Linked DNA regions of Drosophila melanogaster. The protein of the gene in region 1 interacts with the protein of each later gene in a pairwise test. Each region holds a gene or a part of one and is shown in the gene's direction. Other genes may lie near its edges. The genes, in order: Nha2, RpL24-like, CG7173 and CG31909.

What was found.
Region 2: the proteins of Nha2 (region 1) and RpL24-like interact in a two-hybrid assay, tested with the Drosophila melanogaster proteins (one large-scale study listed by BioGRID).
Region 3: the proteins of Nha2 (region 1) and CG7173 interact in a two-hybrid assay, tested with the Drosophila melanogaster proteins (one large-scale study listed by BioGRID).
Region 4: the proteins of Nha2 (region 1) and CG31909 interact in a two-hybrid assay, tested with the Drosophila melanogaster proteins (one large-scale study listed by BioGRID).

Annotation. Positions count from the first base shown.
Region 1 is NT_033777.3:22,993,945-23,002,469, reverse strand, and holds the start of Nha2 (Na[+]/H[+] hydrogen antiporter 2), read left to right. Parts: upstream 1-3,941; 5' UTR 3,942-4,289; coding exon 4,290-4,305; intron 4,306-4,684; exon of another isoform or gene 4,685-4,686; coding exon 4,687-4,956; exon of another isoform or gene 4,957-6,016; intron 6,017-8,525. Other genes in the region: CG34375 (uncharacterized protein), read left to right, coding at 889-2,018.
Region 2 is NT_033777.3:11,428,972-11,435,804, reverse strand, and holds RpL24-like (ribosomal protein L24-like), read left to right. Parts: upstream 1-4,222; 5' UTR 4,223-4,315; coding exon 4,316-4,396; intron 4,397-4,466; coding exon 4,467-4,961; 3' UTR 4,962-5,065; downstream 5,066-6,833. Other genes in the region: Exd2 (exonuclease 3'-5' domain-containing 2), read left to right, coding at 229-443, 506-1,633, 1,841-2,249; CG5276 (uncharacterized protein), read right to left, coding at 2,513-2,810, 2,865-3,826; Dtd (D-aminoacyl-tRNA deacylase), read right to left, coding at 5,069-5,178, 5,234-5,466, 5,535-5,625, 5,681-5,723; Sptz (spastizin), read right to left, coding at 6,266-6,695, 6,753-6,833. UniProt on the Drosophila melanogaster protein: Involved in the biogenesis of the 60S ribosomal subunit. Ensures the docking of NOG1 to pre-60S particles.
Region 3 is NT_037436.4:21,553,185-21,561,988, reverse strand, and holds CG7173 (uncharacterized protein), read left to right. Parts: upstream 1-3,762; 5' UTR 3,763-4,228; coding exon 4,229-5,698; intron 5,699-6,047; coding exon 6,048-6,237; intron 6,238-6,303; coding exon 6,304-6,338; 3' UTR 6,339-6,616; downstream 6,617-8,804. Other genes in the region: CapaR (capability receptor), read left to right, coding at 1-198, 483-633, 698-788, 848-1,047, 1,287-1,460, 1,517-1,591, 1,655-1,799, 1,854-2,013 and 2 more.
Region 4 is NT_033779.5:7,252,165-7,258,698, forward strand, and holds CG31909 (uncharacterized protein), read left to right. Parts: upstream 1-5,347; 5' UTR 5,348-5,400; exon of another isoform or gene 5,401-5,473; intron 5,474-5,532; 5' UTR 5,533-5,567; coding exon 5,568-5,951; 3' UTR 5,952-6,034; downstream 6,035-6,534. Other genes in the region: CG13786 (uncharacterized protein), read right to left, coding at 1-464, 526-608; Wnt4 (Wnt oncogene analog 4), read right to left, coding at 3,840-4,082, 4,296-4,523, 4,598-5,096.

The DNA of each region.
Region 1 (8,525 bases):
ATGCAAAACCCTGTGGAAATAACCTTTGTGCCCGCCCCGCTGTAATACATCCTGCGGTAATGGCAACATCCTGGCTGGGAGCGGGGAATCCTCATTTGTGTGGGCCATAACTTTTCGACAGCGGCAAGTGTCAATGTTTCACTTAAATCTCGACCGAGATGCGGCGCAAATGAAAGAAAAATGTGACGAGAAAGCGGAGCCGAGTCAAGAGTGCTTGAAATTGAGCGCAATGGCTCATCTTCGCTTGTTGTTCTTTTTATGGCATAATTATGTAACATAAATTGCTAAAGTTTTTCGCGCTTAGCTGCGTTGCCATCTTGCCGGAAGATTGTTGTTGGCGTTGCTTTTCTTGCTTTGCCACTGGGCGGCTTCGTTTAAAGTTTAGCCGCCCTTGTTGCCATTTTCAATCTGTGTCGACCAAGTTAACTTGGAGTGAAGTTTACAGCGGAGGTAACAAGCAGCAACAGAATTTTCCGCCGTTGTCTGCATTTGTTTTTCCCTGCTGGTCTTCATTTTTTGCCACTTTTACCCACTTCAGGGTCCTTCGCTTTGTTTTTTCCCAGATTATGCCGTGCTTAGTGCGTTTTTATTGCGTCTACATTAAGTGTGCATTCTTTATGATTCGCCCGGATTCACCCATAGTTCAGCCATAGTTCAACCATTTTTATACAGATGCAGGTACGCGGATATTTACTTAGTTTCTGCTCTATTTTCATTTGCCACTTGAAGAAGTTCAAGGGAGTTTGTGTCAAGGGATTTGGGGGCAAAACACAAACGAGCGCAAATGGACAACTTGCGTGCATATCCATCCAGTTGTCCCAGTTGTATTTATTATATTTACATTTCGTACTTTTTGTAATGGTCCTCCGTTTCGGTGCCTCTTTTCAGGGAAAACCAACAAGGTGGCTGCCTCCCAGGGCCATGGAAAGCTGAGCAGCGTCAACAAGTGCACAAATGAATATCATAATCAACCGAAAATGGCGCTGGCGAAGACGAGTTCCGGCAAGTCCAAGTGCGGCAAGCAAATCTCCAGGCAACTCGAAACAGTTTTGGTGGACCAAAGTCCTCGGGAAATCAGAAGAAAGAGTCAGCAGGGGCAGGAGCAGGAGCAGGCGGTGCAGGAGGCTGTCCTGCCACGTTGCACGCTGATAAAAGTGCAGCATCAGGAGGCCGCTGTCGAGCACTTTTCGGAGGAAGGTCACAACAATATGCTCGTTAAACCAAAGTTAAAGTTGAGTAAGAAAAGTTGGCGGATTACTGGGCCAGATCAAGACGGATTGCGCTGCGATGAAGTTGCCACCATAAATAATGGTGTCCAGGTGCAGGAGCAACAGCAGCAGCAGGAGCGGCAGCAGCTGGGGCATGAGAAGTCAGCAAGCAGCGAGAGCGAGTATCAAAATTATCATTGCCCAACTGGGAAATCATGCAGCAGCCACAGTTACCAACTTGGCCAGCCAGTGGCCAACAAATTGTCAACAGTCGCGATGCAGGCGCTGGCGGTGGTTGAGAACTCGGGAGGTGCATCCTTATCAGCGGGGAGCCATAAACAGGCGCCGGCAGCCGGAGTAAATCAGGAGCTGCCACTGGAGGCGGGGTCAATAGGTCGGCGGGAATGGCAGTTGTTGCGACATTTGAGCGGCGACCACCGGCTGGCAGTGTTGCAAATCTACGGCACGTTCGGCGAACGCTTGCACGTCCGCCCCCAGCTGCCCCTGGAGGGCGTGGCCTGCCTGCGGCTGAGCGAGGAGTCCTCCACTTTTGGCCACGTCAGAGTGCACACATTTTTCTTGGCTGTCATTGCGATCGGCGGCGGCGATGAGCACGCCGTCTTCCTGTGGCACCTAGACCACCTGCCACATGGACCCACTTTCGAGACTGTCATCGAGACTCCGGGCCACCGATTCCTGGGACCTGCTCACTCGCTCCGGTGCAGCTGGCCGGAGATTAGGGCATCCGGCCAGTTCCTCACCCTCCGCAATCTGGCTGCCAAGTGCGAGGTGACCATCAAAAGCAGGTAGACCCCATCATGCACCCAAGACTGGTCCCAAAACATAGGTATTCTAAGCTAATTAGCAGGTAGTAATCGTGTTTAAGAGCTTTGAGGCAAGTTTAAGAACTGATGGCTGCGAAAGCGGCGATAGAGCAAACCAAAATGCAATGAACATAAAATAAGAATAAAATGTGAAATGTATGCTTTGTAAATTATATTTGCATTTTTTCCATCGACCGCGTATTTATACGAAAAATGCAAAACGCAATTTGGAAATGTGTTTAATTTGCAATATTTTTAATTAATAAAAACATTTAGAAATGTGCTGGCCTGGCAGTTTGAAAGTCCTCGCCATTGAGTGTCCACGTTGAGCTCAACAACCTGCAGATGCTCTATAAGAGTAGCGAGCTAAATTAATGGTTTGTATGGTACTTTAATGAAAAACAAAATAAATCTTTCTGCGCCATATGCGATTCTTTTGGAATATCATGACCCATTTCAAGAGTATCTCCATTAGTCCTTGCATCCTTATGGCGGAATAATAACACCAATGTTTGTGCAAAAGAAATTGAAAAACTGAAAACTGAAAACTCAAAACAGAAAACTGAATACTGAAAACTGGTAACTAGCGCCTGTCTGTTTGCTGCCTCCTGATAATTGACTTGCATGCAAATTAATGTTTTTTGCATGTGGGCGTAAATTGCTGCCCTGTCTGACAAACAGTAAACACGGTCAATGCAGCGGCGAGTCATTTTCATCAACGCGCCGCTGCACTATACATAAATCTCTGCCCCATCGATGTTTACCATATTTAAGGAAAAAATTCCAATTTGATGCAACAAAAATCACGGCACTGTAACAACATGTGTGTGCGTGGCAAATAGAGCGAGAAAGTTGTATTATCCTTTTTGCAGCGCCCCGCACCTCACAATGTCCTGTTTTTTTTGAGCCATCATCATAGTCATCATCATCGTCGTCATAATGGCCATCTTATAGAGTGAGAGTGCAACTGCAACTCCATACAGTGCAAAAAAGTGTGTGTGCATAGTTAAAATAAATTAAATATTTTCGCAAACGACACTTTTTTTGCGCAACAACGTGTGGCACCTGATGAGGAGATGATCTGACTGGAGCACTGGATAATGGTGGTGACGTCACTGCGATTGGTTATCTTTGTCATGGGGCTGGTTTGTCCATCAGGTAAATTAAAAATATTCCAGCGAAGCAATTAAATTACAGCCACGGCGTGGGAGTGGCCACGGCGCCCAATATGATGAGCAACGTCAAAATGCAAATTGTCAGAAAAACAATTTGCAAGACAAGCGAAACTCTTTTTACTTCAAGGAAATATAATTGCTTTCCAAGCTCACAAAAATTAATAATTAATAATAAAAACAATATAAGGTAGTTTTTTTTTTAATACCATGTAAACGCAGCTGGCAAACTAAAGCGCCATCTATGGCACAGAATTGCCGCCCCAATGATAGAGCTCAAATGGGGCAGGTCGCGCACATTTCCCTAAAAAAAAGTGAAAGCGTTTAATCATTCCGACACTCACACATGGGAAATGCGCTATGATTAGAGGTCTATTAATAACGCGGCTATTCGGCGCCTTATCTAGTTCAGATAAATTATGATTACATGACAATTATTTATCAGCTAATTGGCTGCGCCTTAGAAAACTATGGGCATATTGAATCGCAGATAAACGAACCCCTTATAAATATGTAAGTGCTTCCAAACAGACCCCACCCCCACCCCTCATTTCACCCAACCCAGAAACCAACTCATTCCGCACTTTTCGCTCGACAGCAATGAAAACAGAAGGTTCGCCTTCCGCAGAGCTTGTTTGTTTGCCAATTAGTTTTAATCGAAGAGCGCTCGCTGGAGCTGCGCGAATCGGCAATTGCTTGTTTAAATGGCTTTTGCTTTTCTAATTAATGCGTTTGGCAAATATTTGCCAGTGCATGAGCTGTAATAAAAAGAAGCTCCAAGTGCTCAAGTTCCGGGGCTACTACACTATTTCATTCCGCCTTTCCGCCGGTCGTGTCGCGCGTGTTCCGTTCCCTGCATATACTATACTATATACTATATATCCACTCGATTCGCAGCTAACCAATCTCTTCAAACCGCGGCGTTTCTCTTTGGCACTCGTCAATTTTGAGCCAAGAATAGCCATTTGGACTACGTCATCGTACTGATTGCGTCAGCAGTTGTCGCTCTTTGGCATTATTTTCCGCGTTTTTTTCACTCAATCACTCAGTTTTGTTTTGTTCTCTGGATTTCGCCGACATTCGACATGAGCAGCGATTCCGGTAAGCGATTCTGGCAGCTTTCGATACTCACTTTCGGCGTTAATTTACGAGTTTATGGTTAATCAATTAAATGCCACTTTTTGCCCAAGTGCCAATAAATAAATCGTGTGCAAATATGTTCGGGCTTCCACAAGTCAAATTGTTGGGAAATTAACTCTTTTATTTATATACTTGGGACTGGAAAATAAGAATGGTAGAATGGAATTATCAATATTTTTTGTTTGATTAGCAACCCTTCGGCTTTATCTATCATGCGTAATTAAAAATGTTACCAAATAGCTTGAGTCAATTTTTTTTGTGGGAAAAAAGTATGAATATAAAGCGATTTTAATTTTAATATCATACAAATTAATTTATATATATATATATATTTTTTTTTAGATATATTGGATGTAGTGGCAGGCAGTGAGGGTCCACCCTTGCAAGCCTTTCGCAGCAGCAATCCCTTCGAGGACTCGTATCAAATGTCCTCCTGCCAGCAAGATTTCGAACGCGATCGTGATGCGAACTTGACTCCATTGCATATGCTGCGTCGAGCCAGCGAAACGGTGACCGCCAGCATCCTGGAGCCGGAAAAGGAGCACCTCCTTGGCGACAAGCCACAGGTGCCCCCTCGTGCCCATGGAAGCACCGCGCCAAGCGCCATCGAAGGTGAGTGATATGTTTAATTGCACCGCGTCGTCATGGGGAAATTCGAAAAATGCGGAACGAAAGTATTTGTTACGGAAATTCTTGCCTTTATGCAACCAGCTCCCCGGATCAGTGTGCACACAACCCGCAGACAGGACGGCAAAAAGGATGCTGAAGACAGAGACATCCAGTGGAACAGCTCCATGCCAACGCTTTGTTGGCCAGCCAAGCGAAGTGGCTCCGACAGCCAAGTGCACAATGCGTGCTCAGATATGCACATATGCACTTCAGCACATATACGAGTATTCATAGTTTGTTTATGCAAAGTTTTTGTTTCGCCGTCGAGATATCCTGGCAGAATCACAGCTTTTTCTCTCAACTGGCAGGAGCTGATTGAGGCATTTCGATTTTAAGTGAACCGCACAATCACATCTTGCACAAGATGGCGAAGGCGGGCGGGGGACACAGGGGCGTATACGTAATATTTCCGCATATTGACGACAGAGTGTCTGCGATTGACAGTCCAGTGCATCTACCGTCCCGGCTCAAACTCAAAGGCAGGCATTTCCTACACATTCCTTCTGATTTCTGGAAATATGCAAGGCTGTGCCCTGCTGGCCATGTGTGTGGACCACTTTCGTTGGCCGAGCTTTTTGTTTACGCTCCTCTGTTTTGGCAGGTGGCCCTTGCTGGTTTTTCGCCCACAGCCGAGTAGCTAGTATTTTTGAAACTCCCAGAGCAGCAATTGTTTTGCATCTGTTCAAATGCGGGTTTTCGCACCAGTCCATTGTACAACTTTTTGGGAGAATTGGGGAGAACTTCCCTTTGGGCCATCGCAATTGTGGCATTTTCACACGAATAATGAGCCAGTTTAGTTGCGCCCAAATGCCCGCAATCATACAACTAACACGAGTGGCAAAAGCCCGCGGCTCTCGGCAAAGTATGTTCCCATGAATATGCATTAACCGGGGCTCATTTCCTGTGCATTCATTTCGCATTTGCTATTCGCTTTCACATTCGGAGTGCACCACTGATTCTGATTCAGATTCCGATTCCGATTCCGATGCCCGTTTCCATTTCGCGTCTGACTCTGATTTGACTGTGGAAGTCATATTTAAATAAGTTTGCGCACCGCTGCAGGCAGCACTAATGCTCGCATGTGCAGGCACTCGTTTATATTAAATAAATTCCATTTAAATGCAGCGTTTGGGGCAATTCCTCAAGCTCAACCTTGAATGGCACAGCCCTACCATCCACCTGCCCCATCCACATTTCACCTGTCGCTTCTGCTTGTGAGTGAAACGGTGACATTTCTGTTAACTAAAGCCAACATGATATACGCTTGGCACACAAACATGCACTCGTCTATTGATAAATGCAGTGCATTGCGCATTCGCCTCATGCGCCTGTGTGTGTGTGTGTGCAAGTCAGTTCATTACGTATACGCAGTGTGCGACATTTATAAATGCCAGCTAGACTGTGACTCAGCATAATGATTGCCAAATGAATGGTAGAATGTTAACCGTCACGAAAACCCTTTCGACGCCATTTCAATTGGCGCTGGTGCGTTTCGCAGCTGTGTTGGCCCACTTTGGAGGCTTGAATACTTTGGCTAAATCTGAAGGATTTGCAGGCACTTGCACTTGCGCCACAGCTAATTACTAAAACTGCACTTAGTCGCCCCTCCCGCACTTAACCTTTGACCACCTGTCAGACTTTGGCTGCTTATTTGCCGAGCTGCAACGGGGGTTTTTTTTTTCAATTTGTCTCTGGCTCTTTTATTTACCAGCATGGCGCTGAATGGCGCTTTGTGACCTCATTTCTCTACCATTTTTATATAGTTTACCAGCCCGGAGCCAAGAAAGTGCCAGTTTCCACTGATTTGCGATGTATGAGCACTAAATTCGATGCGAATCGCTGGGGCGTGAGTTCATCTCTTGGCAGGAAGTGCGTGACAACGGAATGCAATCTTCTTCCACGCAAAGAAATTATTTTCCGAATGCGCGCTGCATGTGGAGTTGCAAGTCGGCATCAGGATTCAGGACGCGGCAAGGATGCCGGCTGGCATAGTTAAAAGGTGGTACGCTTAAGTAAACATAAATAAAATAAATGTGTTCTGAGTACGGGAAAAGTGATTTGATATATAAGTACGCCCCAGACGCAGAAAGAGTTTCAGACTTCAGACAGCAGGAACTCCGGGCTCCTTGGCGTGGAAGAGCACGGAATAAGGAGAATAAGGACTTCTGTCATCAGCGAGCGCAATTTTCCGTTTAAACATATTGAAAAAGCACCTAACGTTCGCCTGTAAATAATGAATAGTTGAATAACTGATATAAATTACTGGGGATACACATTCAGTAGACCGTCTTGCCGAGCACTTTTTATGGCACTTTTAGCTGAAAAAACAATCTAAATGTTAAGTGACAGCAAAAAAAAACTTCGTTCAACTTTGAGCAGAACTATAAATTCTCCATCCTTAGACCTAAGTGAACTTTTTCAAAGTTGTTTAGTTTTCGGGCCGACGTCGTCTGGAAAAGTGTTTGCCTCGCTTCCAATTAACACCTCAGATTCGCACTCGTACGCAATAGTCCGCACATGACAAGCGGATGACAAAAACTTTGCAGATGCAGCTGCAACTGTAACTGGAGCTCCATGGATATGGCCATTACTTTTTTCCATCAGCACATTCTGCGAAGGAGTCCTGCTCCGGCTCCTGCTGCGCTTCTTGCGACCAGTGGCATAATTTGTGTGGAAACTTCTTGGGCAATTGAAAAGCGAAATGCGAAATGCGAAAGGCATCGCAGTGCCTTGGCTTAAAATAACTTTTGCATTATTTTCGTGCCTGGTCACTTGAAAGTTGCAGAAAATATGACAAGATAAAATGCCAAAAAAGTGCCCCGGGCAAAGTGGGCGGATGGGATTGGTGCAGTGATAGGGGGGCGTGGTCGTGGCCCCGGAAACTGCCAAAGGTAATAATCAATGGGGCGGCGTCCAATGAAGCCTTAATGACCTGCCCAACTTGCAGTTCAAGTTGGCTCAACGGCTTCCCCTTTTTCTCGAGTGCAGCGCATGAATGTGAAATATGAAATATCACAGCAGCGGCAGGACCTCCGAAAGTGCTGCCTTACAATACCTGAACGCTATCTTCGCCGACACCTTTGCACAATTTATGCACCATTTTTTTTTTTTTTGCCAGGCAGCTATGGAAAAAAATAGTAAAAGTAAGTGCCGCAAAAACTTTTAAATGAGGCACATAATTCAAAAAGATGGAGAAGAAATCTTGCCTCTGTTATCATTTCATTCCCTTCCACTTTCCCCTCACCCGAGCGCCATTTCAGTTTCGGTTTTTTAGGGGCGGGTAGATATTTTAAATTAATTAGCAAAACTTAAATATTTGTTGTAGTTCAAACGCGAACTTTGCATTGAACTGGTAAATAATCAATAAGCTCGCAGCCATAATCAACTCAACCGAAATCCAACTGAACCGAGAGTTTAGCCCCTCTGAAATGGCAAATATTTGCAGGGCGTACATAAGTTTCCCTATTGGTTATGGCTAATTAATTGATAAGCAAATGCTTTGGGCCAAATAA
Region 2 (6,833 bases), about 12 Mb from region 1:
ACGACTCGTCATGTTTAACGGTTTTATTTCGATATATTTTTATGAACTTTTAAAAGATTTGAAACAAGTTTTGCTTAAAATGTATTAAAACTGTAAAACTATTTTGGCATAGCACATTCAAATTACGGTTATAAATATTCCGAAACTTGTTTAGACCGGCTTTTACGGTTTGTGAAAACGTAAGTTGGCAGGCCAGCCAATCAGCTGCTGAACTCCGAAAGGAGAACAATGACTCGGGAATCGGCAGTCGCCACCAAAAGAAATTGGGCGATTCTGGCCGCAGGAGTTGGCTTGGTATACGTCCTGGTGCGGCACAGGCACCGACTGCTGTGTCCACTGCGTCGCGTCTGGTCCTTCGGCAGCCTGGTGCCCCAGCGACGCATAGAAGTGATCAACTCCGTCCAGGATCCGACCACGCAATGGGTTTTGAATGAACTGAAGAAGTAAGTAAAAACCACTTTAATTTCACGACAATGGAAATATATATATATATTCTGCCTCTTAGTCACTGCCAGACTTTTAAAGTCCTTGGATTCGATTGCGAGTGGATCACCGTGGGCGGCAGCCGCAGGCCAGTGGCCTTGCTCCAATTGAGCTCCCATCGGGGTCTATGTGCCTTATTCCGACTGTGCCATATGAAACAAATACCCCAGGATCTGCGGGAGCTTCTCGAGGACGATTCCGTGATCAAAGTGGGCGTGGCACCCCAGGAGGATGCCATGAAACTTTCGCACGACTATGGAGTAGGCGTGGCCAGCACACTGGATCTGCGCTTCCTCTGCGTAATGGCAGGCCACAAACCTGAGGGACTGGGAAAGCTCTCCAAAACTCACCTGAACTATACACTGGACAAGCACTGGCGCCTGGCCTGCTCCAACTGGGAGGCCAAGACTTTGGAGCCAAAACAGCTTGATTACGCTGCCAACGACGCACTTATGGCGGTGGCCATTTATCAAAAATTGTGCAGGGATCTGCAGCCAAAACACTTTTGGCAACGAAGGCAACTGGACGACAATAGCATGCACAACAAATTCGAACCCTTTCTCGACGTGGACTTCACGAAAGGCTTCACACTCAACCCGTCCGGCAGCGGAGTAACTCGTTCAAAGGGCTCCACCCAATCCAAAAGCAATAAATGGGTGCCCAAGAAGCAACCGTACCGGCAAATAGCTACCCGAACCAAAGACTTCTACGATAACTGCCTGCTGCAGGCGCCCGATGGCGAACTCCTGTGTACAATTGACAGGCGCAAGGCGTCCTGGTATCTCAATCAAAATCTGGGCACGCATATAAGCGAAGAGCCCTTCACTGTCCGCCTTAACTTCGAGCCAGCGGGTCGAGCGGTCGGAGATGTGGGGCGCTTCTATCAAACAATCAAGAAAAACCAGTGCGTGGTGTGTGGTGACCGGGATGCGTACATTCGGAAGAACGTGGTACCGCGGGAATACAGAAAGCATTTCCCATTGGTCATGAAATCTCACACCTCCGACGATGTGCTGCTCCTGTGCCCAACCTGCCACCAGCTAAGCAACATCTCGGATCTAAGGGTTCGCAGCAAACTGGCCGTGCAGTGCGAAGCTCCTTTCAAGCAGGAAGACGGATCTGTCAAGTACCATGATGATCCGCAGCTCAAGTAAGTATGCCATACATTTTCAGAACTAAGTTAAAAGTAAAAGTAAATTATACATTGCGAGGAATGTAGATTGCCTTATCAGTTATCTTACCAGACATATTTTGCCTCTTTTTTATCACCTAACTTTCCAAAACATACCCTGATATATGATAAAATTAATCTCCATAGAGTTCTCAATGAATCTGAATTGCATTTTATTATTTCCAGACGAGTCCAATCCGCTGGCAAGGCACTACTTCATCATGGCGCGAAAATACCCGCTGCAAAGAAGGCCGAAATGGAAAAGACTCTCCTCGATTACTACTCCGATCAAACGGACATCACAGAAGATCTCCTGCGGCAAGCAGCCAGCGTGGAATATCGCGTAGAAAACTCCGACTACTGTCAGCATGGCGAGCGGGTGGTGCAGCAATATCGCGATCATTTCGGCGGCCTGGTGGAGCTGGAGCGCTTATGGCGGCAGCACTTTCTGCACACAATGCAGCCCCGCTTTTTGCCCGAACTCTGGAATGTCAACCACAATGCCGATCGACTGGAAGTTCGCGCCAGCGAGGGTCGCATCGATAAAGCCGATCTTATGGTGGCCGGATTGGATGCGAAGATTAAAGAAACGTGATGCAGGGCTTTTCTGAGTTTGCCACCGGCTTTGTACGTTTTATATTTCAATTTTAATAAAAATAAACTAAAATTTTTTTTTGTGCTATGGTACAAGACGGGACAAGGAGTCACGGTTCATGAGGCAGATGAGCATCTCTGGACTAATCTAGGTGACTATAAATATAAAGCTTACCGTATGGGACAATAATACAATATGTACACGTTTAAAACTGAAGCACCTGGATCGAAGTAGAGTGGAGTGCGGTAGCTTGGAATGGCGAGCTAAATGAACTCGAATCCCTCATACTTGTAGTCCGTCTCGATCCTCGTTTCGGGCAGCAGTGTCTTGCCCGCAATATCGAAGGCTGTGATGAAGGTGGCCGTCTTGCCATTCAACTCCTCCGACTTAAGAGCCACGATTATTGAGTCATCGGTGCCGGGCAAGAACTTAAAGCTAGAGAAACCATGCGTGGGCGTTGTATTTTCAGGATCGAGCCGTACAGTCTCAACGTTGGTGAAGCTTTCGTCGGCGGAGACCAGGACATTGCAGCCCATGTGCTCGTCCTTGGTTTCGTTGTATCTTTCAAAGATAGATCGATGAGTTAAGGATTTAAAGGCTGACACGCTTACTCACTTCTCTTTCGAACACCGCCTAGGCAGGAAAAACCAGCGATTCCTTTCCTCTGACCAGGTTCCACTCTCGTGGATCATGTAGCCCGGCCAGGTTATTTGCATCGACTGCAGGCGCAACTGCTTGAAATTGTCCACCCAGTTGAGCGACCTCACCTCGCCGGACGGAGTGATGGCCTTTACGTACATGGGGTTATTGTTCTCGAAATCACCCGCACTTGTCGTCCACTCCTTGCCCATGGAGCCCACATACAGCGTTTGCTCTTTCACTGTGGCCCATTCGGCCTTGAAGCCCTTGGCACTGTGTCCGTCTCCATCGAGCAGGATCACCCAGGGAATGGGCTTGTCATTCACAATCTCGTATATCAAACCCGTTCGGTCGTCGAAGGTGAGCAGGCGCCCGTTGAAGGTGACTAGCTCAGATAGCTCCATTCCGCGGCCCTTAAGGGCAAATGCTGATTCCAGGACTATCGGCGCCCCGTCATCCCAGCTAATCTGGATCTCTGACCTGGCCACCGTGTAGGTAAGGTAGCCCTTCTTCAGGTAGCTACGCCACGTGCTGCTCCCATCGCCCTTGCTCACCTTGGAACTGGTGTCCAGATCGGCAATCATGGCTATCCGGTAGTTTATCACACCGCCACGCAGCACCATGGGTGACGTGAGCGGATATGTGGCATTGTAGGCCTGGACCACTGGACCACCATTGTCCAGACTCCGGGCATCCGTGTAACTGCGGCGCAGCCAGTAGCCGTCGGAGGAGGAGTGCGATCCCTGGCGCGCAAAGTAGAAGAGTAGGACGAGTACGAAGGCGCAAACAATCAGAAGGGCGAAGTGATAGTTAAAGCGCACCGTCCGATTCCCAATCCGGTACGTGGGCGTCCGCAGGGCCGATCGCCAGTCGCGCATGTACATGGCGCGCGGCGAGTGTTCTGCGTGTTCCCGGTACGCGAAGGCAGGGCTCTGCATCTGGTCGCACGTCAGCAAGATCTCGTTCGCGGTGATGTGTCCGATTTTCTTGGTCTGCTGCTCTGTTTGTTTGGATGCTGGCGGTGTGACCAGCGCATGAGCGGGCGATCAGCTGGCGCAACAGCTGGTGCAAACTGGCGAGCGCATGCGATGTTATCGAGAAACAGGTGCAACAATTCAGTTTAAGTTAATGTAAACATACTGGGAAAAACATGATTTGGACAAAGACCGAAGGTAATTGAAATTATCAAAACAATACAACTGTCAACTGGTATCGCAGTCACTTGCAATTTATACGTATTTCTTGCTTGGATATTTTTTGTCTACATCTAGCTATTTTCCATGTTAGCCAGTGTTATCGATAAGCAGTGACTGGTCGCACTGCTGACTGCCGATACATTTTCATATTTCTTCTTCTTCAGCAGCACACGTGCTAGCAGCTTGCGCATTTGTTTTGTTTTCGTAATTTATCCGTCGTAAATTGCGAAAATGCGCATTCAAACGTGCTATTTTTGCTCTAGCAAAATATACCCGGGCCACGGGGTGCAATTCGTGCGAAATGACTGCAAGGTAAGAACGATTTGCTTTCCTGTTTACATGTGCTCCGATGTTTATATTGCTTCGCCATATTCCGTCGCAGGTCTTCAAGTTCTGCCGAGGCAAGTGTCACAAGGCCTTTAAGCGCAAGAAGAATCCCCGCAAGGTAGGATGGACGAAGGCGTACCGCAAGGCCGCCGGCAAGGAGCTGGCCATCGATCCCAGTTTCGAGTTCGAGAAGCGCCGCAACGTGCCCATGAAATACAGCCGCGAGACCTGGCAGAAGGGTCTGGAGGCCATCAAGCGGGTGACGGAGATTAAGGAGAAACGCACCAGCCACTTTGTCATGGAGCGACTGCGCAAGGGTCGCCAGGTCGAGATTCAGATGGACGTCAAGGATGTGCAGCGCAACATGTCCCTGATTCGCTCCCCAGCCGCAGGGCTGAAGCAACGACGTGCCCAGGAGGCGGCAGAGGAGGCCGCCCTCATGGAGGAGGATCTGCCCGAGGAGAAGATCACCTACGTGGATGCACGCGAACTCGAGAAGAAACTGGAGGAGGGAATGGGGGTCGAGGATCTCGAGATGTTAGAAGCCTAAGGACGAGTACGCTGATTTTTTCTTAGTTTAAGTTGCTGCTAAAAAATACATTATATAAAAACCCCGTGGTACATAAATGTTGTCTTTGGTTGTTATATATTTTCAAATCATTTGTCCACTTCTCTGTCAGTATCCTTTTGTTCGGGGGACTCCAAATTAATGGTTACGGGTCCATCGTTTTCTATGTGCACTTGCATGTATGCTCCAAATTTGCCATCTATTATAGTAAGTGAGATTAAAACATGACCAGCTGGAGTGTTCCTATCACTCACCTTTAATCTTGGTGCTATCGTAGGATTGACCTAGGCGATCCAAAAATTGATTGTACAACTCCTGCGCCTCCTCGCCCTTCATGGCAGCCAAAAAATCCGGTTTGTTGCCCTTAAGGCGGTGATACAGTGTAAACTGCGAGACGCACAGCAGTTCTAGGTTCAGATCCTTCACGGACTTTTGCCAACGCTTGCCCTCCTCCTCGAATAAACGGAGAGCCAAGATTTTCCGGACACTTGAATGGTAAGCTGTGTTAGGTGGTCTAAACCTAAGGTGGTTATCACCAGAGTGGAATTTACCTACAGATACTCAACATCCTTGGCGGTGTCGCTGGCCTTGATTCCCACCAGCACGCACAGGCCTGGTCCAATGGAGGACACCAGCTCATCCAACACTAGGGGAGCAGTATAAAATTATATGATAGATGGTAACTATTTGATCCTGCATACCCGTCACTTTGGCAGCCTTAACCCTTTGTATAACCGCACGCATTTCTTAATTATTCTATTTATTTACCACTTATTTAGATCTTTGTCAGTGCTGGTAAACTTGACACGAGCAGTGTTGACCGTCGCCCCAAGAATTCAAAAATATCGCGCATTTTCTGGGTAATAAACATATAACAGTATAATATAAAAATAACATAATAAATATAAAATACAGTACAATCAATAATATAATTTGGTTACATGCTGGGAGAGTCTTTTTGAGCTGGAGGGTGGAATACTTGCTGGCCCTTTGGAAAGATTAAAATTGATCTACATATATGTTAAATTCTAAAAACAAATTATCTATGCTAGCTCAGTTACAAAACAACTTGGGCCTTCACTAGGTGAATAATCAAAAGATGAATTCCAATTCCGAATAATATATATTCATCTAAATCTCAAAATTGAGAATTTGCTTAGATATGTTATTGTCTTTTAGAATGCAGGAGTTTTCAAAGCTACAAATTCATCATTTGGTATTTCTCACAGCTAGTAAATCCCAGAAACAAGGGGTTACTAATGTGTTATTGCTCGAGGGTTGGGATATCACAGAGGCGTTGGCGCGGCGCTTAGCTGGAGCTTCATATCGCACAGTTTCTTGATGTGAACCTGACCGGTAAGCTCCGCCTGCCGCAGGATTCGCCGGATATCCGCCAATCGATCGTGCTTGTTGGCCAGCAGATAGGCGGATTTAAGCTGCCCAATGTAGATGTAGGAGGAGACTCGTAGCTCCACGCTGCCGATGCGTTTGATCAACCGATCCAGCATCTGTTTCGTCTCCGGCGCACTGCTGTGCACAGCAGCATTAATGGCAATCGAGAGTATTTCATCGGACTCCGTGGAAATGTCTCCGCCGTTGTTGCTTCCTATGCAGTCCAGCAGACGCTCTACCTCACCCAAGCGCTGATTTCTCGACAGGTACTTAGCAGTGGCTCCAAACACCTTAAGTGCAGCCAGCTTGAAGTCCTGCATAATGCTAAAAATAAAACAATTATAGCTGACATTGTCGTCTTGATTTTATCTTTTTGCTTACCCGTAAGCCAGGCCAAAACCTTCGTCTATGTTCTTACCGCACATGAGGATCAGAATGCAAATTTGTATCCGATCTGCGGCG
Region 3 (8,804 bases), on another chromosome or scaffold:
ACCGATCCGACATTTTCCGAGTTAAACGCAAGTTTCACAAATACCCCAGATACCCTATTCGCCACTAGTGTTAGTTCGGATCCATCCCATGGATTTGGAGAGGAGGACTATGCCTGCGGCACCTTTAACTGCTCTCCAAAAGAGTTTGTGGCCTTTGTGCTTGGACCACAGACCTTACCACTTTACAAGGCAGTTTTGGTAAGTCTTCTGGAAGTGGATTAATTTTTACCAGTTTTACTTGTAATCAAAGCTTAAAATCAAATAACTTTTCTTATTGCCTGTTGTGAGTCATACTCAATAGTCAACAAATATCATTCCTCATCCAAGATATTAAATTAAAACTTTTATACAGCCATTTATACTTGTACATACCTAGGCTAAATACACATGGATATTGGTGAATCGGCTCTGCAATTTGCTTGCTTTAATCTAAGGTTTTAAATTGATAAAGCGATCATTCTGTTTGCTTAAACCTTTTCCAGATAACAATTATTTTTGGTGGCATATTTATAACCGGGGTCGTTGGTAATCTCTTAGTGTGCATTGTGATTATTCGCCACTCGGCAATGCACACGGCGACCAATTACTATCTGTTCAGCCTAGCTGTTTCAGATCTGCTGTACCTACTATTTGGTAGGTTAACTAAATAAAATAGGAAAATATAGTTAACTGAATATGCTGTTTTAAACAAAACTAGGATTACCAACGGAAGTGTTTCTGTACTGGCATCAGTATCCGGATCTCTTCGGCATGCCATTCTGCAAAATACGCGCATTTATTTCAGAGGCGTTAGTATAACTACTTTTGACTACACGTTTAGCCATTTATAAACCCAGCTGTGTTTCAGATGCACCTATGTCTCCGTCTTTACCATCGTCGCATTTTCCATGGAGAGATTCCTGGCCATTTGCCATCCATTGCACCTGTATGCTATGGTTGGCTTCAAGCGCGCGATTCGGATAATAACAGCTCTTTGGATTGTTAGTTTTATAAGCGCCATTCCATTTGGACTGCTCTCGGATATTCAATACCTCAACTACCCATTAGGTATGAAACTATTTACATCATAAGTTCCCTAGCAGTACAAAAATGGTGCTTGGTGCTCGAGTCAGTAGTTGCTCAAATGAAGTAAATTGCTGAAACCTTATAAATCAATTGAAATGGACTTTAATTTTGCGAGCGACCTGAACTTCACCATCCAACAGCCATGAATGGTTGAAGTATATTCTTTGAATAATATCCAAATAACATGAACAGGTATAAATGGCATTCGTTGCGCTTTTCAGATCATTCCCGCATTGAGGAGTCGGCATTCTGTTCCATGTCGCCCAAGATTGTTAACGAAATTCCCGTGTTCGAAGTATCCTTTTGCATTTTCTTTGTCATTCCGATGATACTCATCATTTTGCTCTACGGACGAATGGGAGCCAAGATTCGATCTCGAACGAACCAAAAATTGGGCAAGTACCTGGCTTTTATTGACCCCAAAAGATCCGACTTCAGGGATGTATTCCAGGTGTTCAACAAGGCACCAACAACAGGGAAACGAGAAACTCCCAAATGAGAAAGAAGACGGTTATTCGCATGTTGGGTGAGCTTTTCCCAATCAATCCCAACAGAATCCATCAATAAAGTCCCCGTTTAATCAGTATAGCTGCTGTGGTGATTACGTTTTTCGTGTGCTGGTTCCCGTTCCACCTGCAAAGACTCATATTCCTGTATGCCAAGAACATGGATAACTATTTGGACATAAACGAGGCACTCTTCTCGATTGCGGGATTTGCGTACTACGTTTCATGGTAAATGAACCCAAATTCTATTAACTTATTTATCTGATTCAACTGGCTTGACAGCACCGTAAATCCAATAGTGTACAGTGTGATGTCACGTCGCTACAGGGTTGCGTTCAGGGAACTCCTCTGCGGAAAAGCCGTGGGCGCCTATTACAACAGCGGATTTGCGAGGGATCACTCCAGTTTCCGGGAAAGCTCCGCCTACGACCGCGTTCATTCTGTAAGTTATTAAGTTATTGAAAGCACATTTTAATCCAACCTAACCTAATTTGGTTATTCTATCTCAAATTACCCCATAGGTTCACGTCAGAGCCAGCCAGCATCCAAATAAGTTCGAAACGGACTCCTCATCTGCAAATAGGGTGCTGATAAAGAAAACCTACAGCCTCCCGCTACCAAAAGTAATTAAACAGACCAAAATCATAAATACTCATTGAAGTATAGCATAGTGTCCTAGAGTATGATATAGTAGTAAATTAGCATAAATTTAGTTATTACAGATGCGCAGATTCTTTTGAACTGGAAATCCCAGAGTTATTTCCAAACTTTTCTGTGTCGCCGGACTCTCGGAACTCAAAGATACCTGGGCGAATAAATCAAATTAAAAAGTTATTTCACTCTGCGTCAATTTGTGTATCCTTGTAATTCCCAATGCTGAAGTTGCTTAGTATTCCGGCTCCATCCCCGCTTAACTTGATTTCGCTTTGTTTACACAAATACCCATGGGAACATAACTTTTCCTTACATTGCCTGTTGAGCGAATTAAAGTGCTCGTATGTGATTGTTTGAGTTTGTGAAATAGTAAAATACAGGGCGAATAAATACTACATTACTTTTCACCTGCTTGTATTCCACGTGTGTATATTAACTTTGGACCTTGCACTTCCAGAATGCGGACTCCACGGTCCTGAGCACCACGGACATTGTCATCGTGCTGGAAAACAGCCACACAGTTTGCGAGGAGCCCAAAGTTGAGAACGATATTTGGATCGAGAACGAGGAGACTTGTATTTAAGCACGAGGCCATTTCAACATTTGTAGTTTAAGCCAAGGACGTCGAGAACAACCTTTTGTAGAACTAATTTAAGAGCTAAGAATTGCGTATTGGGAATTTAGTGATATGACTGGGAGTCTGTCTAAATTCAAATGTGCCCCCGCACAAAGGAGATTTATTTATTTCTACAACATCTCATAATATTACTAAATAAACCAACTGAGTTTTATTGCTACCGAGTTGTTTTTTTTTAATTGTGTTAGGTCCTTATAAATATTTATTTATACATAAAAAGGTAATCAGTTCCATTTTCACAAACTTACTGGCCACAAAAGAATCTGAGATATTTGAAACTTTATGGAATAACAGGGCTTTTATGAATGAATACATTAACGAACGATTACAGTTTCGAGCGATTTGCATAACAATGATCCAAATTATCGTTTTCATGGCTTGTTCTCTCGAAAAAGCAGTGCCAAATTGACGACAAAAGCGAAAGTTGTACCCATTATCCCAGTATCTATAATTAAAAACATTTTCACTTTTACATGAGGTAAATAACCCTGCATTCACAAGTCTCAGACATCCAGCCATCTGGCATTCTGTATAAGCAAATTAATCTCTGATGTTTGAGGAACTCCGAACCAATTACGCATAGGTCTCCAAAAGATCTTATCTCCGATTTACTTTCACCAGCACTCAAGATAGCCAGATTAATGAGCATACCTGGCCAATGGTTCTGTCGCATCTGGAGCGATGTCACGGTGCCCCGAGGCTCGAGTGCTCCATCTTCGTGTCGCGATATGATCTCTCGGGGATCTCTCGGTGGACACCACATGCACATCCAAATCCAAAAACATCGACATCGACATCGACATCCACATCCACATCCACAGCAGCTCCTCTATGGCAGCAGAGGCAGCATCTCAAAACTGGTTTAGTGGCCATTCCGACACTCCGAATTCCAGCACAGCTAGTTCAGAAACGTTCCATTTGCCACTCAGTTGCTTTCCAACCGACGGCACCGCCGAAATTCAAGAAGAAAGTAATCGGATGGATGTGGATGCTCGAGACCCTCCATTGATTAACGGTGCTGCGGCGTTGGAACCACAGGCTCTAGAAAAAGTGCCCATCTTAAGCTGATATGGCGAACCAAGTCGGTTTTAAATAGATATACATAGATAGCTGCATCTGGGCCCAGAGACGAGGCCACCACATTGTATTTGGCTGCAGTGCCGCGAGGCGTTCCATTTTTATTTAAACGACTGGCCGGATAACAAAGAAAGTGAGATCAAGTCTGCGCGATCGTGGATCGTCGAATGGAAAAGAAGCTTCGCATGTGTGCGTGGTTAATTCGAAAGAAACTTTTTTGCTTTTGGCCGCGGAACTGACAAATGTCAAATACCAATAGACCGTCGTGGAACGAAGACGAGCTTTAAAAATGACTCAGAGTCCGCTTAAGTTGGCCCCCATTTTGGAGGCCCTAGTTCTGATAGTGGTCCTAATCAACCAAGTGCAGTGCGGTGAGAATGATATGAGACAAGCGCGCATAAGGCAGTTTCTGAGTGAGAACCAGCCCCTGGCCCAGCACCATATCAAGCACAATCGGCCGCCGGGTCCCGGACAACTGCCCCGGATAAGATCGCGATCGGATAACCTGGCCATGCTTTCTGGTGGCTCCAACAAGTTCTTGCGGTCGCCGCAACCTGCCACTGCGCAGCACATCATGCGTCGCGAGCAGTTCGGGAACTTTCCTGCGAACGACCAGCTCAGGAGGTACCAGTTCGACCAGAGTCAGCAGGGCAGATTCGCCCACGTAAAGGACACTCCGGTGCTAGATGTGGGCAAAAACCAGTTCCCACTCCAGTATGTCTCCGAGCAGTACATTCAGAACTTCAAGTCCTCGCCGCGCTTCAATGGCAATGTGATCATGAAGGACACCAAGCCAGTGTACGCACCCATCCAACAGCATGCGATTCCCGTCCAGGCCTCCCAGTACCTGCACTATCCCAAGCTCTTCGGACAGCAGGGATCTCCCAGTTTCAGTGTTGTCCCTACCCAGCAAACTGCTCTCCAAAACAGCCAGTTTCCCCAGGATCCAAATAGCTACTCTGTCTACGAGGATACCGATATACCTGCGAAGCAGGCGGTAAACTTTCGCCAGGCAGTGCCACCACCAAAGGAGTCCAGGGAGGCGCAGGACTACCTGCAATTCATGAGCACCAACGAGTACTTCCTGCCCAAGAGGGATCCTGACTTCAAGAAACTGGACGCCGAGCGGGACCAGCAGAAGCTGCTCCACCAATATCCACAGCAATACAGACAGCAGCAGCAGCAGCAACTGTATCAGCAACAACAGCAGCAGCATCAGCAACCGCAGCACCAGCAGCCGCAGCAGCAACAAGCGCTGCAGCAACATGTTCCCTACAAAACTGCTGGCCTAGACAACTCAGTCTCCTCCAGTTACAATGAGCCCATACAAGTGTCCGACTTGTTCTACCAGCAAGATCCCGCTCCTGCGAATTCCGCAGTGGTTCGCGGCAGTTACCAGGCAGGTCAGGATGTCTTCGTTGTCAAGTCCGACGGCAACAAAGCCGTTAAGCATGTGGTCTCTACTCCCATGGCGGTCCAGACCACCACTCAATCGCCGTCGAAGAGCCAGCACCTCGCCAAGACCCACAAGAGCTTTACCCCGGAGCCTCTGCGATTCGAGTTCACCGAGCAAGATGCCATAAGGGGATCGATGAAGTACACCCAAGCCCCGCAAGCCAATCAGTACTACTACGAAACCGTGGCCCAAGCTCCCCGCGAGCCCGCGAAATCTCCTGCCCCGAAGATTGAACTCAGCAAGCCCATTAAGGAATACACCGATGACCCAGAGGATAGTTCCGACACTGAAAGTGGAAAGCAGGTTGGTTCTGTTTCTCAATAAATGTGAAAACCGCAAGTAGCTTATATAAGCTAGCATATTTGTTGGCCAAAAAGTGGCCACAAAAACAAGCACTTCCAACCTTTAAGGCATTTTATAATGATTTTTACGCGATTTAGTGAGTACTTAATTTCGATCAAATCGTTTACGGGTTTAAAATAGTACTCTTCTTTGAAAAAATAAACTTAAAAAAATAGTTGATTCTATCAACTCAAGCTACAAAAATTATACGACTCATCAAATACCAGTAACAGTTTTTCCTAATAAGATCAAATTCTTTTTGCTGTGAATTTAGCTCTTACATTTTTAATTTTAAATTTGCCCATTTCAGCAAGATATTCCAAAGGTGCCCACTGTGACGAGTTCAGCTACTCCTGACGATCCAAAGGACACGGAAAACTACTGCGAGAAGATATGTGCTAATGTGTACGATGAAAACGATGAAATAATCTGTGGATCCGACGGATACATGTACACGGGCGAAACCCAACTGCAGTGCTATTCGTCATGCCTCAATATAAGTAAGAGTTTCATACCCAATATATGTATTGTCTGTATATATTTTAAACCAACATGTTCTATTCCAGGTGTGACGATTAAGAGTAAAGGATCTTGCTCTTAAACTAAAATAAAATAAAAAACTGTTTTAATTTAATTTATTCTAGCGATTACAAAATATGCAAATTTAGTGGAAATGGTAAAATGTAGGGTTTTGTAAAAAGTGATTTTGATTTGTTGTTCACGTATAAAAATATCGTGCACTTATAGCTTTCCTATTCATTAAAGTGATAACTTATAAACTATTAGTGCATGTATATTTAAGTTCTACAATATATTTGTATGTATCTCAAAAATCATTCAGAGAAGTTAGTTATAATAAATAAATTAACGAATTGCAAGAAAACATTATCGAAAATCATATTTATATATATAAAATAAGAGACTATCTGGGCTTTTTGCCTTAGGGGCAAAACAAAAGAGACAGGAGCATCTTCTTGCTGAATAAGGGAAACCTGTATAAGGGTTTGGAATTTATTAAGACTTTGTTAGGTGTGGTTTTTACAGCTGTAATCTGTTTGTAATCTGTTTCATTATGGCAGGCAAAATGAAATTTAAAAAAGTGGCTTAATGCTTAAAGGTTATACAGTATTCTTAACAATGTTATAACTCGTTCGAAGAGTAACGGTCTACTGTTCAAGTTAACAGAGGCCAGGTAACATCTCTGCTAATGCGTAACATATATATTAGGCAAGCTGGTAGCTTGGGTGGCATCACCGCCGATAACACTTGTGTAACAATATGCGCTATCGATAGATCACGAACACAAGTAAACCCAGTTGCTTTGTAAAATTTTTTGTGAAAGTAAAGGGAACTTCTGGCGAAATAACTTCAATTTTCCGCTGACTCTCGCACGCGTTCAATCCAATTGACCCCCCTTGTGGAGGTGACACTATCTCCCGAAAGACTTACCAATCCCCCGTGCCGTAATATGAAAGCTTGCTAGCTCGAATTGCCTTTGAACACCACAATCACAAATTGAAATCCTCGATGCGAACGATCCGACAGTCGCAGTGCGAGCCCTAGACCCCGTCCCGGTCGTAAATCCCCAACTCGAGCACGATCCCGTCGAGCGAAGGACTTCCGGAAGGAGCGGCGTGGAAACATGACATCATAGTCGCTGCATATGCTTCCTGTCCCGAATCAAATGTACATAAATATGTATGTATAGCCAGCGTACCGCACATACGCACATATCCCTCGCGACAGAACAGAACAGAGTAGAGTGGAACGGCAGAGCCAGTGACGAACGTAGTGCAATCGAAACTAGTGATTCATGGAAAGCGCACACCTCGGCCTCCTGGAGACGGCGCCACTACCTCCTCCACCCAGCTGTAAGCGATATTTCAGACGTCGGCACCAAGCAACGAACATAAGTGGGTGTGGGAATGGTCACCTTTCCCTGCTCCTGCCCCTGCCCATGTCTCTGCCCCAGTCCAAGCCAGTTCCTCCTGTCAATAGTGCCGGAATTTAACCTTTGCTCCATTCCTCCATGCCTTCATGTACTCATTCACCGCCTTGCCTCTCGCTTCAGATTAAACGTGGTGGTCTGCTGCTAAAAATCTTGCAAAATTGGACAAACCCTCTGCGACTTCGTACGACAACAAGAGGTCGTACCTGCGAACCGTGCTCGGAAGGGAAGCGCCATCAGCGAAGATGGTACTACCTCCTGCACCACGCAACCTCAAAGGTGAGTTGGAGTCATTGCCAAAACATTTAGGGAATATCTCTATTTATTTAAATATTGTTTTTATTTAAATCAGGGCACATAACAAAAAATGATTGAAGTAACAATCGTTGTTTCATATATGCCTAAATAACGTAAAAGCTGGTTTAAAATATCCTTGTATGTAGTGTGTTAAACTGACCAAGTATCCTACAAAGGATTTGTTTCCCTAGGATACTAATTTTTAAATATGCTTCAACTGGAATTGTTACTTCAACGTCTCTGTTTTAAGCAAAACTTACTAGATAAACAACACGTAAACTGAAACCGTTTTTTCGTTTATCGAATGTTTATAAAATGTTCTTGGAAGGAAGTTTACTGAGAACTGTGGAAAACTCGACTGTTGTACCTGTGAGTCTATAGAATCTAATCAACTACTTCTATCATTCTTTTAGGAATACCTCAATTTCTAGCGAGGAGCAAACTGTGCAGGGAGCTAATATACAAAAGTCGGGACACCGTTCGTTTAATAGATCTGCCTCCTCTAGGCAAAAGCCGAACCCGACATCAAAACTAAAAGACACACTAAACAGAAAGCCCACTTGCAAGCAGGGCACACTTTCTGCACACACGAGCACTAGCAGCACCACTTCAATCCAGTCATCACCTATCGAGCCAGCTTCTTCTCTACCCACGCTGAACACCACGCCTACACCACCAGCTGCCAGCAAAAGTAACCTATTTGTGCGGGTGCTAAGACGCTTTTCAAATAACACCCTTCCCGGCAAAACGGCGTCAAGCCCGAAAAACGTGGACGACGTACCGAAAGTCAACGATAACAACAACGGCGATTTAGGCAAACAG
Region 4 (6,534 bases), on another chromosome or scaffold:
AACTTAATGGTGTGCTTGTGGTTGAATTTATTGTACCATTATTGGGTAGTGCCAGTAGTTCATTTCGTGCGGCACTTTTACTGGCTTTACGTTTTGGATCGCATTTCTTGGTTTTGGGTTTCACTGTGGTACTTGGTCTTTCAGTTACCAGGGTGAAATTGGCGCAGGGATCCTGCTTGAGCAGCGGTGTTCTTAGCAGGAGTAATCTAACGAAGCACGGATGTTCAATTGGTAGACCTTCCGGGAACGTTGGTTCACAGGGTGGCAAAAAGTCCATGCACTCCTCCTTGCTCTCCTCATATTCATCGAAAATGTGGCTAAATGGGTCCTGTGCATCACCGCTGTCATCGCAACCTATCGGAGCTGTTGGCAAAACGGAAATATCCCTCTGATCGCGACCATTGCTGGGATAGTCCTCCGCCTCGCGCAGCATCATATCCAAAAGTTGCATCTCCAAAGGCGAACTAATGGGAAATAATAATAAAGAACCTATTTAATTTTTTCCCCCAGCTCATTACAACTTACCCAAAAACTGAAGGTCCAACAAATAGCACCCATAGTAGCGGCAGCATCATCATGATTCGAGTGTTTGGGTCGATGGTTTCCATGGAAATGTTGCCCCAACCCGAGCGACATTTGGCTTTTGTTGAGTTCACGTATCTGTCGGATGCAGTGCGCTGCACTCTCACTTTCTGCCAATTGAGACATCGTTCTTTCCGATCTGTAAGTCACCCGTGTCAGCTCCACCACCCCCTCCAATTCGAAATCATAGTTTTGCGGTCAGCTTTCTCATTAGACTCTACTGTCATCCGTCTGGGCGGCGTCTTCGTTGCTCTGGTCTTGTTTTCACTTTTGTTCTCTACGTGACCTGTGCTGAGATCGGCGATTTTTGGCTTTTACTTACCACTACGTTCATTCTTTCGTTTTAGTCTGGGATACTGTATACAACGAAGTTCGATAGCAGTATTCAAATATAGATATATCTAAATTTAAAAATTGGGGAATTTTAAAATTAAAAATAAAGGAAATAAAATTTAAAAGAAAAATTTTAAAATATTTATTACTTTAATAACACGAGAACGAAATTAATATAATTATCATAGTGTATACCGCTCTCTGCTTGTCGCTTTCATTTTTCACGTGTATTTGCTTAACTTATTTAATTTATTATTGTACCGTTTGATTCGACGTCTCGTTCGCCTTGTTTCCGTTTTATGCAAATTACTTTTATTGTCGCCATCGCGTGGGTGAAAAGGGGGTGGAGGTCCGTGGGTTCTACTACCAAGTAATTAATAGCCATCGAATGCTTGTGGTTTTCACGAAATGAAAACAATTGGCTGCCATTCTTGGTTCAATTGGCATTCTGAAAACATCTGAACAATTAGAAGAGCAGTTGTTAAGCGGCTGATTAAGACGGCATGGTACCGAAAGTATAAAAAGCTGTGTACTTAGAACTTAGGACGGTGAGCGCTGATTTGCTCTATTGAATTTTTGTGTACTGAATTACCAGTTGTTTTTATAGTTCGTGACATTTGTTAGGAAACAGTGGAAGTAAGAAAGTGCAAATAATTATTAAACACTTTCGCTGGCTGATGTAGTTAGAAACAAACAAGGAAATGATTTACATAAATTGTAAATAATATGATGACAACAATAGGCTCGGTAAATTCTATTTACAAACTGCTAACATTCTCTTTAGGGATCACTTTATTCAATTGCCGAAAATCTTATTTGCCCACTGGTTTTTTGACCTTGTGCCTGCCACATTCCCAAATGTCAACTGGCGAAAAATGCGTGTTTGGGAAACGAGCTTGGGGCGTGCTTTCATCCTGTCATTACCAAATGGCATTCGCGTGTAATTTGTCTTGTCTTTCTGGAGGAATCTTTACGACTTTCCAGCTGTTTAATGTAAAAATCTTTACTGGCTCGGGGCGTTTGTTCTCAATCAATATTTGCCCGCCAGCCAAATATTTTCCAATCAAATGTAGACCACAAGGACTACAGTTTACATAGAAAATATTGTGTTTAAGGCGCATATTAAATGTAAAACGCTCGACTGGTATCTGAAAAAGGTTTGCCCTTTTCCCTGATATCTCCGGTATCCTTGTTATGCGGAACATGCAATAGTTTTTTGGGTCTCAGCACGCAACACTCACTGAATTATGTTGACAGAAGCGTATCAATGTCACGGCTGAAAGGGGAAAAGTGTGAGGTCCTGGGACTTGAGACATGACAGATGGCTCGAATGCCATTAAAGCGACAAAATAACACATCAGAAGAGTACAGTGGAGGCGCCCTAAATCTAAAACAATTATATGTCCTTCTAGAGCTAAGAATATTGATACATTCAATTTAGTAGTAAATAAATTCGACTGCTGATCCAACATATTTGTATAAAATTAAATATTGATTTAAGTATTTTATTTTCTATACTTCTAGATATTTCAAATGTTTTCAATCAGCTTGTTGTTTAAAACTTATTGAGGACAACAATATTTGTATATCATAGCAAGGAAGAACAAGTACTTTAGTGCCATGTAAATAAATAAATACACCCAAGTGTATGCAATGTAAAAAGGCTTCAAGTATGTAAAGTAAGTAGTCAACAGATGTCGCTCATCTTAGTCTTCGACATATTTGACATACGAAGAAGTACTGCTGGTTATTCCATTACAAACCATATTCATATCGGTTTGTTTTAAGTAAGCTTTACTGTTACTATTAGAAAACTGAGATCACCGGAAGTTTACACAGGTGCTTTTTTGGGGTTAGGCGAGTCGTGTGGTTTTGCGCTGAGTCTCGTGTTAAGCGATGTCGCGTGGACATCGTGAGCAGTCAATTTGACAATTGATAAAACCAGTTATCTAACACTTGAGGTTCGGCGGTTCATACTTCGGTTTGGTCGGGTTTGAAGCTGTTGAAACGGCCTCGAGTGGCGGCCCACTGCCACTGACACTGATATCTACTGGCGATCAATGTAACCGACCGAAAGTTGATAAGAGTTCGCCGCTTCATCGTTGGCCAAGTCACCTGAAGTAACGTGATGGATCGAATTTTTATAGCGACAGTACGCTAATTGTTCAAATGTTTGCACGGCTGCACATCACTGTTGAGTGCCGAACGAAAATTTAATTAAAAGTTTATTTTTAGGTCTGCTCTGATTTTCGCAAGGACTTTAGTTTCTAACTATAAAGTTACTCTCTAACTTAAATTAGACAAACCCGCAATAAAAGATCATTGGAGTATTTATTTTTATGTGAAACTTTATATTTCATTTCAGTTTTGTATTTTTTTTGGTTTGTTTTGTATGTTTAAATACTTATTAAAATTGTTTTTGTTTTTTGTTTTTATTTTTCGTTTTTGTTGCTGTGTGTTTTGTTAGCTTCTGCTTTTCTGTTGTTCTTTGTGTGTGTGTCCGTGTTTTTTTGTTGGTTTTCCGTTTTGCTAAATAAAGTTTTGCGATTTTTTTTTGAGATTTTTTCTTTGCGACGGTAGCTAATGTTTACTATATATTATATAGTAATTAAATAGATAGATGCATGTATGCGCTTGTGTGTGTCTGTGTGACTGTGTGTGTCTATGCATTTGAGTATGTGTGTGTGTGTGTGTGAGCTGGTGAGTTTGGCCTTTAGCTAAGCCTTAGCTTTCTGATCGATCTCTATCGTTCTGCATTCGTTCTTTTTGCTTATCATTTCAGTAATATTTGTTAGGAATGGAAAAAAATTACAAGCCATAAAGGTAGAAAAAAACTTTACAAATTACATTTTCAAAGAGCACAGTAGAGGGATAGAAAGTGACGGAGACGGGGCAAAGAAAGTCTGCGAGAGATGGCACCCCGTCTATTTACAAAAGTATTTGTTCTCCAGCCGCTGGCAGTAGTCGCAGATCAGCTGACAGCACCGTCCATTGTTGAACCGGCACCGGCACTTCTCCACCTGCTTAACCACCTGGGTGGTGTAGCCACGCCCACAGCACAGGGTGCCACAGTTGTCCGGATGCAGGCACTGCCGATCCTTGGTGACCGCGCAGTAGGAGGGCGAGGTCTCCAAATAGTACAGCGTGGTGTATTGCGATTGTTGGGGCTGTAAAGGGAAATTACTTATTAGTTTTTTAAGTTTAGGTTCTAAAATATTAACAAAGTCTTTTGTGGTTAAAAGTCTAAACATAAAGATGGACTACCTCGACTATCAGATACCCTTTTCTCCATAGAAACCAATTCCCGTTATAGATCTACCTTTTCGAATGTATTCTACATATAATTCTACATCTACTCTACTTTTCTTTGAAGAACTTACTTTCTTGCGTCGCTGCTTTGGTTTTTTCATGCGACTCGATGACACCTGTCGCATTGATCGCTGGTTTGGCGCCTTGCGAATGGCCTCGTTGTACTTTTGCCTCAAGAGCGTGGCTGTGGCATTGAAGTCGGCCATCTTCTTCCAGCAAGTTTTCATCGAACAGGAGCCGGAGACGCCGTGGCACTTGCACTTGTCCATCATCTGCGAGGAGACAGCTTCGATGCCGACCTGAAAAGAAAGTTTAATTAGCACAGGTATTCTATAAAATATCTCCTTCTGCTCCTTAAAATATATCTCTTTACCTCTGAGTCATGTCGCAATATCTCGCTGACCTCGTCACCATCACCACCGCGCAAGTCCAGGAAGCTGCGTGTCACCCGCTTGCCGTGCTTCAGATTGTCATTGCAGCCGCCCCACTGGAAGTCCTGCGCCTCCCTGTTGTGCTTTTTTGGCCCGCAGCTGCACTTGGTCATACGTCCCTCGGCACAGGCCCTGGCTATCGAGTGGGTCATGGCGGCCGCTGTGAGCGCGTGGACGAAGGCAGTCTCCTTGTAGAGCTTCTTGAAGATGTTCCGCTTTCCGCGCGTCTCGATCGAGCAGTTCCAGCGGTCGTAGCGGAACTGTTCCTCGCAGTGGGTGGTGGCCAGACGGCGGGCCTCGCTAAGGGTTCCCGGCAATCCCGTCTCCTTGCGACACTGGTGGTTCTGACGCCGCGTGGCAGGCATGTATCTGCAGGGTCCACCCACTTGGCCCTGCGAAGTGAACACCGCCATCACCGTGTGCTCCGAAATGAAGTGTTCGCTGGCAGACATAAAGTATTCGAAATTTTTCATAAGAAAAGGTAAAGGTATTCTTAAAAGTCCTTTTTAGAGCTATACCACAATTAAATTACGTTTTTATTATAAAAAAGAGAGAATTCTATAGTCGAACTCCCCGACTATTAGAAAGCCCTTACTCAGCTAGTGGGAACGCAAAATTCTTTCTAATCTAGTATGCACTTTTACTCTACGAGTAAGGGAAAATTTCGAACGGAGAGGCAGTTGTGTTAAGTGTCAAGTCCAAATAGACCCTACAGTCAGAAAACTTATATAGTGCGGTGAGTGAGGTGAGTGAGAAAGTGAGGTTCGATCTTAACATAAAAAAATATTTTTCTGATTTTAAACAAAATAAGATTCTTGGTACGTATGAACACAGAATGAACTGACCATTGTTATATCTAAGCTCATATAATTGCCAGACAACAAGGTGCTGTCACCATCACCAACAAAAAAAATGGAACCCTCGTTTTCCAATACTAACAAATCGGAACTTCAGAACCAACTACGAGTAGAGAGAGCTCTGCAAGATAAATATTTAAAAGAATTTTCTTCAATGGCGGATGAGCTAAATCACTTAATTGATGGCACTACTCCCAGCCATATTGAGACTTATGAATATTTGGACACTGTCGACACTGAAAGCGGTCGTTCTCTCGAAGAAGAGAAAAAGTTAACTAACTTTTTCTATAAATTGAAGAGCGATCTACAGAAATTATATAGAGAAATCGTAGAGAACCCAAAATATTTAAACGAAATCAGGGATTCAACTATTATAAGGGACAATATAGATTTACTGGATGAAGTAGACGCTTTTGAAGGTTCGATGAATATGCTTTGACGGACAGGTGGGATTTGAAAAATGTAAAAAAATTCGGGTGTTACTTTATTTTTTATGGTTAAAAAATAATAAAAGAAACAGGTACCCGTTATTCTTTTACTCTACAAGTATAACAGGTATATTGGATTCGGATTTCTATTAAAGCGACACCTATCTTTGGCTTGCAGATGATTTTTACACAGATTTCAGCGCCCAGTGCGCCATCTAGCAGAACTTGTATGAAGCTTTGTGTGCGAGCAATCGGTAAAAATACCGTTTCAAAGAGAATTTAAATTTTGTGCGCCTACTTAGTTAAACCAATATGTCATTTGAACACTTAATAATTAATTAATAATAATAATTAAATTAAATTTATTAAATTAATTAATTAGCAACCACCAACCTTAGGATTGCACAATCGAAATTCTGAACTACAAAGTTTTTACTGCTAATAATAAACCGGCACATGAGAAACTTTTATTTGATTTATCAAAAGTTACAACACACATGCTAGTATGGCCTTCTCTTATCAGTTTTCTAGAAATAGCAGAAGGAATTTCCCTTGAATTGGTTTCCCATGCCATATCTGTTTCCAGTTATTTCG